2 linked regions of the Caenorhabditis elegans genome follow. The protein of the gene in region 2 purifies or fractionates together with the protein of the main gene of each other region. This does not show direct contact. Each region holds a gene or a part of one and is shown on either strand. Other genes may lie near its edges. The genes, in order: homt-1 and urm-1.

Region 1 (8,103 bases), on a different chromosome or scaffold from region 2:
CATGTAAAACATGAAATTTTCGGGAAAATTGCAATTAAACGAATAAAAATCGATATTTAAATCAATTATTGGTGAATCCGGTGTGTTGAGGCTTCAATGCATACATTTTTACTGGATAAATCTCCTTTGGGAATCCGGTTTGCAGTGCTTTCGAGACCATGTCCAGTTGAGAATCGGCGAACGCTTTAAGAAGCTCGGGCTGAATAATGAATTGTTTTAAAAAATGTTTAGTAAAAAATTGTTTTCGTGCAAATTGTCTTCGATATTATCCAAACGTGACGTTTTGCGATTTTCGCGCTAAAATTACAGTAAGTGGGGTCTCGACACGACAATTTTTGTGAAATACAAACGGGCGTGTGTCTTTAAGAAGTACTGTAGTTTAAAAACTTCATTTCTGTGGAATTTTCATATATTTTTCATAGTTTTTCTCTTTAAATAAATCACTTTTCAACAAAAAACTATGAGACAATAGTTTGAAATTACAGTATTCTTTAAAGGTGCACGCCTGCTCGAATTTCGCAAAAACGTGTCGTGTCGAGACCCCAATTACAGTATTTTTGACCCGAATATCGCGAAATTTCGAGTCTGGGTGAAAACATTGAAATTTTTGGCAAAATAAAAGAAATATGTCCTTTTTCAGAATATATTTTCTAAATTTCGAGACGAAACAACAATTTTAAATGAATTTTAATTTTAAATATTAAATATTTCGGAATTTGGCGTTTTTTATGCATGTCGATTCACTAACGATTTTGTACTACACGTGGGCAAGTTTATACAGTTTTTGGCTAAAATTTGTGAATTTGAACCGTTTTTCGGCGAATATTTGAAAAATTGGCAAAACTGGTTCAAAAACAAAAATTTTTTAAACTGTACAAACTGTCCAAAAATTCGTCGTAAATCGACACACCCTTCTCATTTTTTCAAAATTTTAATTGTTTTCGAATGTTTTTTTTGCAGAATAATTTGTAAAATGAGCCTTTTGTGAATTTTTTTTAATTTCAAAGTTTTTATTATTTTTTCTCAAACCAGCACCTCTGTTCTCGTCCAACTATGATCATCATCGTCGAATAACCGTTTCTCGTGATTTGTCACATTATCCTTGAGCACAATACATCCACCAGGTTTCAGTCCTTTCTGAAAATGAAAATTAATTTTAAAAAAATTGAATTATTTTAAATGAAACAGTTTTCAGAGATTTCTCAACTTTTGAGTCCACCACCAGGCCTGCACGTTTTTCGGGTTTTATCTTTTAAAAAACTGAAAAATCGAAAAATTTCAATTTCTGTTTTGTGGTCAAAATTGTAATTACAGGTAAGCAAATAGTTTAATTTTAAAATTGAAAATTAGGGAAATGACCGGACATAAGTTTAAAAACCCGATTTTTTCAATAAAAAGGAAAATTGAAAATTTAATAAAACAGGTTGTAAATCAAGGAGATCGTATTGATTGAAAAAAAATCCGAATGTTCCGGATTTTTCAGTGGTTTTTTTTGAAAGAAAATCGAAAAAGTAAATGTTTTTAATTTTTAAATTTAAATTTTTAATCGGAAAAAATGTACGAAATTGACTTTTTAATGTGAAAAATTGTTGTTTTAAAAAAAAATTTTAACCGATACAGATTTTCTAGACTCAGTTTTTTCGGTTGAATATTGTTTTTTACTATTTTTTCATTACAGAAAGAATCCAATTTTATTTCGCTTAAAAAATAACCGGAGCATCGAAAATATTTTTTTTTCTGTTTTACTCAAAGCATTTCAATTACCTAGAATTTTGTTTAAAAACTACATGCTTTATTTATGAACGTAATAAATAAGACCCCCTCTTATTTATAAACTTTCAACATATTTTCAGTTTTCAGTGCTATCTAGTGCTTACCGCACATCTTTTAAAGAAATCAACCAAATCCTCATCAACCAAATGCCCTGAAACCCATTGAATCCATATCAAATCATAACGTCGTTCGGGCGGTGCAAACGTCTGCAGTCCTTCGACGAATTTATCTCCAATTCGTGGATGTTTTCCAATATATTGATCACTTTTCGTGATCAACTCCTCGACGACGTCTTCCATATCAACTTTCGAGAAGAATGGCATTAAGAGATGCTTTGTAACACGTCCGATACCCGCTCCGCAGTCCAGTGCATAGTCAAAGTAGCCGAATAGATTCTGGAAAATATTTATAAAATTCAAAGTTGGCCCAGGGGTGACCGGCAATTTCAAGCAAATCGGCAAATTGTCAATTTTCTGAATTTGCCGAAAATTTGACAAAAACGACAATTTGCCGGTTCGCCGAATTTACCTTTTTTAAATTTAATTTTCAATTCAGGCAAACTGACGATTTTCCGTTTGCCGGATATCAATTTGCAGGAATTTCTCAAAGGAATTTTTATTAAGACGGAAACACAGTGCTTTTTTGAATTTTTTTTCCCGTTTTCTTCAGATATTTTTATAGAATTTACTGACTTTTCAGAATAGATGTAGGACAATTTTGTTGTTTTAAAAATTGAAATTCTGAAATTTCCAACAAAAAAACATGTGCAAACCCACAAGTTGGCAAAAATATTTTGCATTTGCCGTTTTTCCCGTTTGCCGAAAAGTCTAATTTCGGTAATTGGGCCATTTTTCGAAATTTTGAGCCACATAAAAAACTTTGAACCATTTTTGAGAAGTATTATTACGACATTCGTTTATTTGAGCACAATTTGGGCCTATACTTTCAAAATCGGGGTTTGAAAACCCCTATATGTTCGACCGAATGTTAATCTCATAAAAATTTGATGAAAATAAAATTTTCTACGGCTCATAAACGTATAGCCCCCGTCAGTCTCAAAATTTATACGATAGACACTTTTTGGCGTTTATCGCCTATATTCCGTCAAAAACCATTATTCATCATTCTTTCAATGTTGTTTTTTTTAAGGCTAAAAAACTTTCATGCAAATTTGTTAGCCGTGTCGTGGTTTATACGAAAATTTCAGAATTTATAAAATAAAGGAAAACGAAAATGTTTCTATATACCCTATTTATGTTCTCTGATTCCGAATACCAATGTGAAAAATTCAAAAAAAATTCCCTGATTTTATATAAATTTTTGTAAGCGACAAAAATTGTCGTTTGAATTTCACACTTGGTTACAAAAATTTATGAAAATGAGGAAAATTTGTTTTAATTTTTTCACATTGATATTCGGAATCAGGAAAATAAATAGGGTCTATAGAAAAATTCCGAACCTTCACTCCTTCTCTGAGTATAATAAATTTAAAATAAATACAGAAAATTTCAGTTCAGACCTCATTAAATTTGGGTATATTTCTAGGATCCGAGTTTTTACACCAGATTTACAAACTTTTAGCCTTTCACCGCCTTTTTATGCGCATTTCCCATCAGTCAACTCCAAAAAAATCGCAACTTTTGCCTCATATTTCAAGAATATTCCCCTTTCTCTCCCCATTGAAAGTCATTTTCGAAACAAGCGGAAGATTCGTCATATGTGGTAATGTGTGGCGTGCGTTGGCAAACAACAAGAAAGAATCATTCTCTGAAAACAAAAAGCGTTTTGGGTGCCAAAGTAATATTGAAAATCTGCCGTGTTTTCTCATTTTCCATCAAAAGAAAATGAGAAAAAAGTTTCGGCGTTTTATTTGATTTCCGGGAAAGAAGACTCGGAAAAAGATTTAATTGAATTTTTCATAGCAAACCTATATTGCAACAACTTTCTAAAAGGTCAGAAATTGCCGCGTAGCCTAGAAAATTGGAAAACTCTTCCAGCTGGTATTATTTCAGACATGGTGCATCGAAAATTCGAAAATTACAGAAATTAACATTTTGGAGCATCTGCCAGAAAATTGAGATTACAGTACCCCACTTCTGCCGAGAAATTCGAGGTGGAAGAGGTCTTACAAAATTTTCGGTCACGTGAAAATGGGAAGCGTTCAGGCTCCACACGACGGAATTCACCTAGTTTTCAGGTGAGAAGATATCGTACGAGGAGAATTGACCTCCAAATCCTGATCGTGACTACAGGTCGTCGTTCGGAGCTGTGGAAGAGTTTTGAAAATCTTCGACCATGAGAGAAATAGACAGGACGACCAAACATTTTCAGTGGAAGAGCTTTTCCTAGGCCATCAGGATGCTATTTCGACAGAGCTGAGTTATCCTCAAGTCGTTACGAGGTGTGGAAAAGTTTTCCAAAATCCCCGACCAGGTAGAAAATGAGCACACCGATTAAGTTTCTCCAGTGGTAGAGTTTTTTCTAGGCCATCATTATGCTATCTAGAAAAAAGCTTCGGCCATGGGGTTTTTAGGCCGTCTATTTATTTCTCATAACTTTCTCAGAAATTCGTCTATTTCTCAGAACCCCCCAATGATAAGTTTTTTGCAAAAAAAGTTCTGCTTTGCTCATCAGCCGTAATCAGGTGACCTCATTAGGCCTACCCAAACACAGATTTGTCATTATTTTTCAGACAAAAAACACGAAAAAAATCTTCACGCATGGGGTGATAACCTGATTTTAAATCTTACTGTGCCGGCTGGCGCGGCGAGCTTCGATCACTGAGCCGAAAGATTATGAAAACTATGGGAATGACGGCGTAGCCTAGAAATCGTCCAGGCAGAGATTCTGTCTAATTTTCGAGCATATATCTCCCAGTTTTGTTATTAATTTAAGTAAACTCAAACCTAGAAACAAGTAAAACGGGAGGGGGGGGGGGAATATCAGAAAATTAAATCTTGCGACACTTTTCCATTGATACTTTCAAGGTAATGCCCAGAGGTGTGCGGCAAATTTTGAAACTTGCGCATGCCGCCTTTTTTTTTTTCTAGAAAACAGTCAGAATTTTTTGTCGAATTTGTTGAAAATTCGCTAATATACTGTGAGTTTAGAAAAAATAACGAAAAAACTCGGAAAAGGAGGAAGAGATCTGAAATATGTAGATTTTTTTAGAAAAGACCAGAAATTACTGAAAAATTGGCATTTTTCGTCGAAACCCCAATATACTAAATTATTCGGATTTTTAGAAAATTTTCAAATTCACCATACAGTGCATTTTTTCCTACTTCTACGACTTTAAAGGGGGGAGCATTTATGCGGAAGGGTCTTGCCGCGCATTTAGTCATCATTTTTAGCAGTTTCTGTGTAAAATTCGCGTAGATCACATGAAGATCACAAAATATTTATCCCATATTTCGTATTTCTGTTGCTTTTTCACAAATTAATTGTGATCTACGCGTGATCTCCGCGAATTTTGAGCAGACTTTGTTAAAAATGATGACTATGTGCACGGCAAGACCCTTCCGCATAAATGCGCCCCCCTTTAAAGTCGTAGAAGTGGAAAAAAAATGCACTGTAGCAAAAAATCGAACATTTCTGTTCGATTTTTGAATTTCTCGAAATTTTTTAAAATAATTTTTAAAATAACATTTTTATTTTATTTCGAAAACTACCGATTTTAGAAAAATTCTAAAATTTCGATTTTTTTTGTTGATTTTTCGATTTTTAAAATAAAATTTCATAATTTTTTAAACCGATCTTTCTTGCTTTTCCTGAAAAATCGATGATTTCTATACCTTTTTCTTCAGTCCTTCAATAAATCGTTTCGACGCCGATATGTCGGGCGCGTGAAGCGCTTCGAATCCGCCGAGCATTCCGTTGACGTCCTGGCTCGCGCGGCTCCAGTATTCCTCCGCCTGAAAGAGAATAGTTGAAAACATTGTTTTGAGACTTAAAAATTTTTTTTTTAGTTTTTTTCAAAAATTCTTACATGTTATAGAGTTTTTTTTTCAAATTTTCAGCTTTTTTCAGAAAAACTTAGTATTTTCGATAATTTTAAATAAAAAAGTTTTTTTTCAAAAAATGTTTCGGTTTTTTTTTTAATTTTTGGTCTAAAATTCTCCGCAAAAGATTTGCGTGCTGGCCGAACTTTTTGATTTTGTACCTTTTCATAAACATCTTCACCATTGTGAATTCTAGAAGATGATGAAGAGCTCATTTTTGATGTTGTGACAGCTGCTCCGAGCAATCTGGAGACTTTTGTGACGAAAAGACGAGAGGTCACGGATATGATGATGATACTGGAAATGAGATATTTATATTTACTAGTTCATCGGGAAAATTATTACGAGAAAGATAAACAGACATGTGCGTTTTTTTAATGGAAGAGAAACACAAGAAAAATCTGGAAAACTAGGCCACGGCTATCAGTGTCGATTTACGGCATACGGTCTCGACACGACTATTTTTGTTAAATGTGAAGGTATGCACCTTTAAAGAGTACTGTAGTTTGTAACTCTCATTGCTGCAACATATTTGACGCTCAGCGAAAACTACAGCAATTCTTCAAAAGACTACTGTAGCCTTTGTGTTGACTTACGGGCTCGATTCTCGAAACGAATTTCTGCTCGAATTGTGACAGCCATATTCAATTTGGTATAGTCTTTTCGTATTTTTTGCCATTTTTCTGTTTTCTTCTAATATTTAATCTATTATTAAATTATGTCCGTAACTCCCTCCAAAATTAGAACTGCGACCGAACAGAGATTCGTTCCGCCCCATATTCCGGCCAATCAGATCGAGTAGGCGGAGTTCGAAGTCGCTGATTGGTTTGAAAAGTCGCGGAAATTTGCAAGTTTTAAGGTAGCGAAAACTGATGACTATTGTAGCGCGCTTGTGTCGATTTACGGAATCTCGATTTTCAGGAATGAATTTTTAATTACATTTTTTCGCTCAATTAATATTCTAAATAAATAAATAAATGATTTGAATTAATTTAATTTCATTCGAGCCCGTAGATCGACACATGTGCTACAGTAATCATTAGTTTTCGCTACGAGATATTTTGCGCGTAAAATATTTTCCCGTAATAACTCTACTCCGACAAACATTACGACCTCCATGGAGGCCTCCAGGTATAGGTGAGACTCTTGTATTTCCAATTCAGAGACAATGCGTCACTGGAAGAGAAAACGAAGCGGAAAAAAAAACACGGAAACCCAAAAATAGTGTTTGCCCCGCTCTATTCTTCTCCAATAATTTCTGTGTCTAATTTTGAAAGACTCCACCTGTGTATGCCTTCTCGACATAAACCCCCCCCCCCCCCCCTATCTTACATGGTACTGATAACACTTTCAGTCTTTCACACTTTTGGCGCGCAACGCCGCTCTTTTTTCGCGGCGAGCTGATGACGTCATCAATTTTTCATCGCTTTTGATTATCTTCAATGTTCTAGAAGGGCACATAGGTCATCCTTATTTTTTCCTTCTCTTTCTCGTGACGGCCCTTGTTGCGCATGCCCGCCCCCTAGAGCAGGGCGTGGCCTGAACGGCGGCTCCGAGAGCTACTCATTCTTGCCGCGTCACCCTCCAGCGCCACCCAAACTTCTTCGGTTCTAGAGATCGAGAAGAACGTATGATTTTTTAAAATTATAATTGTTTCTTTCGAAAAAAAAAATTTCATTTACAGTAAGCCAAACATACACAATCAACATGAAACTCGTAATTCTGCTATCTTTTGTTGCGACAGTTGCGGTTTTTGGTGAGTTTATGCTTTAGATAATACTTTTCCGCCAAAAATACAGTTGCCGGTCTCGGTATGGCAATATTTTTGTTAAATTCGAAAAGCAGTGAGTAATGTAGTTTCGAATTTTCGTTTCTGCTTAATTTTCATCAATTCATCGTTTTTCTCACGACTTCTTCTTTATGAAAAATCAATGAAAATTCTGACTAGGTCAGCTTAGGGGTGAGGTACCTAGAGACGCCACATATGCCAAACGGAAGCTGAGATCATTGGCTACAAGAATATGCTTTCAAATTCTGCAACGGACCTCTGGGAGTCTGGAAATTCTTGTCTGAAATTATGCTTTTGAATGCTCGAAAGTGGTAAGAATTTAGAATTTATTACAGAAAAACGTTTAATTAATAAAATTAGTTTTATACTTGAAACAAGTACTGTATGCACTGTATCAAAACACATTTTCATCTTTTCTAGGTATTCAACTTCACGTTTTTCTGTAATAAATTCTAAATTCTTACCACTTTCGAGCATTCAAAAGCATAATTTCAGACAAGAATTTCCAGACTCCCAGAGGTCCGTTGCAGAATTTGAAAG
Region 2 (3,176 bases):
GCTCGACGTCGCCGCGTTCAAGCCGGAAGAGTTGAAGGTCAATCTTGAGGGACACGTTCTCACCATTGAGGGACACCACGAGGTCAAGACCGAGCACGGGTTCAGCAAGAGGTTGGTTTTATTTTATTTTTCATTTATTGGAATTAAAATTAATTAAAAATTTTCAGATCGTTCACTCGCCAGTTCACTCTTCCAAAGGACGTCGACTTGGCTCACATCCACACCGTCATCAACAAGGAAGGACAGATGACCATCGATGCTCCAAAGACCGGCTCCAACACCACCGTTCGTGCTCTTCCAATCCACACTTCTGCTGGACACGCTGTCACCCAGAAGCCATCCAGCACCACCACCACCGGAAAGCACTAAATTGCCCCCAACTTTCTAGATTACATACTGCCAGGACAAAAATAAAGCTGTAAAATGAGAAAAAAAGTGTTTTTCTTTTGTTTTGGGTACAGGGGGGAGTCTTCGGTTTCGAAAGTTCTTCCATCTTTCTGGAAATGCCTAGAAACTGTCGTTCTGTGAAGCGTTTTTTCTTCTTCGATTAAGATGAGTCCCCTTGAAAGTTCCGCTCGTCGAAAGTTTCAGCAACCTTCGTCCGTTGAAGATACCTGCTCTGTTAACTAATTTCGAAGTGATACATTTCAAATTCATTATCAACTTAAAAAACAGCTTAAAAACAAAACAATTAGCAAAAATCCGAGTTCATCCACCATGAAGCGTCGAGACAAAAGTAATCGTATCCCCTGCCTCAATAACCGTATCGTATTCTAACAGCAATCCGGTATCCGTGTCATTGATAAGGGTAATCACTCCGTGAGCAACTTCGCTGGCGTCATCGTTGAGCAACATATTTATCCGGTGAACATCCGTGACGAGGTTGTCCCGGACAAATTTCAGCACGTCTCGGAGTGTAGAGTCTGAAATAAAAATCGTCAAAATTCGTTTTTAAAATTCAAAAATCAAGTACCTGCCGGAATCTGAACCTTTTGTGCTTTTGCTTTGACGAGAAACTCGGCTCCGCCGGAAAAATCAATTGTGACTGGAATTGTGCTCATCTGAAATCAATAATACTTTAAAACATAAATTTCGAAAAAAAAAACTTTAAAAATTAAGTTGCCCGAGAGGAGTACACGGTGAAATTGTGCAACTACGCTCCATTGCTACGCGTTAGAGAGTGGAGGCGATAGAGAGTTCTTTTTCATTGACGTGTTGGATTCCTCCTTTTTTATTCATTTTTTTAATAAAAATTGTTAGAAAATCAGAAATCCATGACATTTTTTTCAGAAAAATGTCAAAAACAGCTGCCGATGACCTATTTGGCGGTCTCAGCGACAGTGACAGCGACGATGAGATAGTTCCGACCTCAGTTTTGAAGGATTTGGAGATGAGGTACGAATTTTCCTGCCAATTTTCGCTTAAAATTTCTCATCTGCAGCAGTGAAGAAGACGAAATTGCTGAATTATCAAAGGATACTCCTCCAGAGGTATGAACAGCCAAACAATCGACGAATTTTATTAATTATTCTCAGAAAAAGCGAAAAATCTCCGAGAGTGGCGCTTCCAGCAGCAGCTTCATACCGGAGAGCACTTCAGAAGAGAGTTTGAGCTTAAAATCTAAAAAAAGTGGCTCAAGAAAGCGAATTTTGACGGCTAGCTCGTCCACAAATTCCATTGCAATGAAATCTTCTGCAAGTTGGATTCAGGAGAAAGATACTCCGATAAATGTATGAAATTTTGAAGAAAAGCGAATAAAATCGAATAAAAATTGAAATTTTCAGAAGTCAGATGAGGAAAAATCTATTGCCGAGTCACTTTTGATTGCGAATTTTTCGAATGAGCAACTGGATCGCTATACGGCGTTTAAAAGGTGCTACAAGCCAGAAAAAAGCAATTAAAGTTGAATTTAAATTGAATTTCAGATCGAGATTCAACAGAAGAATCATCAAAAACGTGATTACTCGAACCACCGGACAAATTCCCAGTGATCCACTTGCGCTTGCAGTAGCTGGCCTTACGAAAGTGAGTTTTTCGAAAAAAAAATTCTAAATTTTTCGTTTTACGGCTAAAATCATCAGTTTTTCTTTTTGTTTCGTCAAATTTTCGAGCATTTTTCCGCAAAAATATTGAGTAAGTGTAAAAATTTCGATTTTTAGGCCAATTTTTAGGAAAAACCGTCTGAAAGTTGGGCGAAAAGTGTTTCAAAACAGATTCCAAAGAAAAATTAAAGTAAGAATCATAAAAATTCACTAACTTTTTTTCAAAATTCGATTTTAAGAATTAAAAAAACCGCGTAAATCCAAATTTTGCAGATGTTCATCGGAGATCTTGTGGAAGAAGCTGTGGAGCTCCGTGGAGCTCTAAATGAGCAAGACCGTCCAGTTCAACCGTATCATATCACTCGAGCTTTCGACAAACTTTTGGCCGAGGGAAAATTGTGGCCACCGTATGGAGCGAAGTATTGACTTTTTTTTTGCTTTTTTTTTGTTTTTTTTTTAATCATTAATACCGGTTTCTAATTATATGAATCTCAAGATTTTTGTTTTTGTTCTTGTTTTTTTTTAATAATATTTATTTTTATGTTTCCTTTTTTTAATTTCTCTAAAATGTTCTGAACATACTAAAATATCTAATTTCTTTTCTTTTTTGCTCAAAATCCTCCCCCATATCCCAAATTTCTTCAGATATGTCGGAGCATCATGTGAACATCCCGGCTCCTCAGTTCTCCACGTATGCTACTGTAATTGATCCACCGAAACATGTCACTGCAACTCATCCTGATGAGCTGGTGAGCACTGGAAATATGGAGAAATTCAGAGGAAAAATCAATTTGAAAAACGAAAATTTTTCGACTTTCCGAAAAATTCAAAAAATCGGGAAAACTTTTCATAACATAAAATGCAATTTTTTAAAATTATATTGATGAAAAAAGAAAAGAAAACATTGAAATTTGAGAAAATGACCAAAATTTTAGGAAACTTTTAAAAATAAATTTTCCTAAAAAAAAACCTTTTTTTTCCCTCAAAAAATAAATAAATCCTTCCAGACAACAGCATCACATCCCCAACCAACACATCCATCAGCACCACAAGATCCTTCACCAGCAGTACCATCAACTCCAGTTCGTGTTCCATATCCAACAGCTCCTCCACCAATACCTCCGGCTCCAGAAG

What was found.
Region 1: the proteins of urm-1 (region 2) and homt-1 fractionate together in Caenorhabditis elegans (co-fractionation; one large-scale study listed by BioGRID). This does not show direct contact.

What each region holds. Positions count from the first base shown.
Region 1 is NC_003279.8:4,160-12,262, forward strand, and holds the start of homt-1 (Alpha N-terminal protein methyltransferase 1), read right to left. Parts: upstream 6,072-8,103; 5' UTR 5,990-6,071; coding exon 5,936-5,989; intron 5,688-5,935; coding exon 5,568-5,687; intron 2,169-5,567; coding exon 1,878-2,168; intron 1,138-1,877; coding exon 1,036-1,137; intron 200-1,035; coding exon 62-199; 3' UTR 1-61. Other genes in the region: nlp-40 (Peptide P4), read left to right, coding at 7,482-7,530. UniProt on the Caenorhabditis elegans protein: Alpha-N-methyltransferase that methylates the N-terminus of target proteins containing the N-terminal motif [Ala/Pro/Ser]-Pro-Lys when the initiator Met is cleaved.
Region 2 is NC_003281.10:10,503,365-10,506,540, reverse strand, and holds urm-1 (Ubiquitin-related modifier 1 homolog), read right to left. Parts: upstream 1,062-3,176; coding exon 974-1,061; intron 924-973; coding exon 709-923; 3' UTR 642-708; downstream 1-641. Other genes in the region: sip-1 (Stress-induced protein 1), read left to right, coding at 1-111, 168-369; taf-11.3 (Transcription initiation factor TFIID subunit 11), read left to right, coding at 1,295-1,395, 1,442-1,490, 1,536-1,730, 1,785-1,873, 1,926-2,025, 2,316-2,468; Ras-related protein Rab-33, read left to right, coding at 2,690-2,791, 3,050-3,176. UniProt on the Caenorhabditis elegans protein: Acts as a sulfur carrier required for 2-thiolation of mcm(5)S(2)U at tRNA wobble positions of cytosolic tRNA(Lys), tRNA(Glu) and tRNA(Gln). Serves as sulfur donor in tRNA 2-thiolation reaction by being thiocarboxylated (-COSH) at its C-terminus by MOCS3.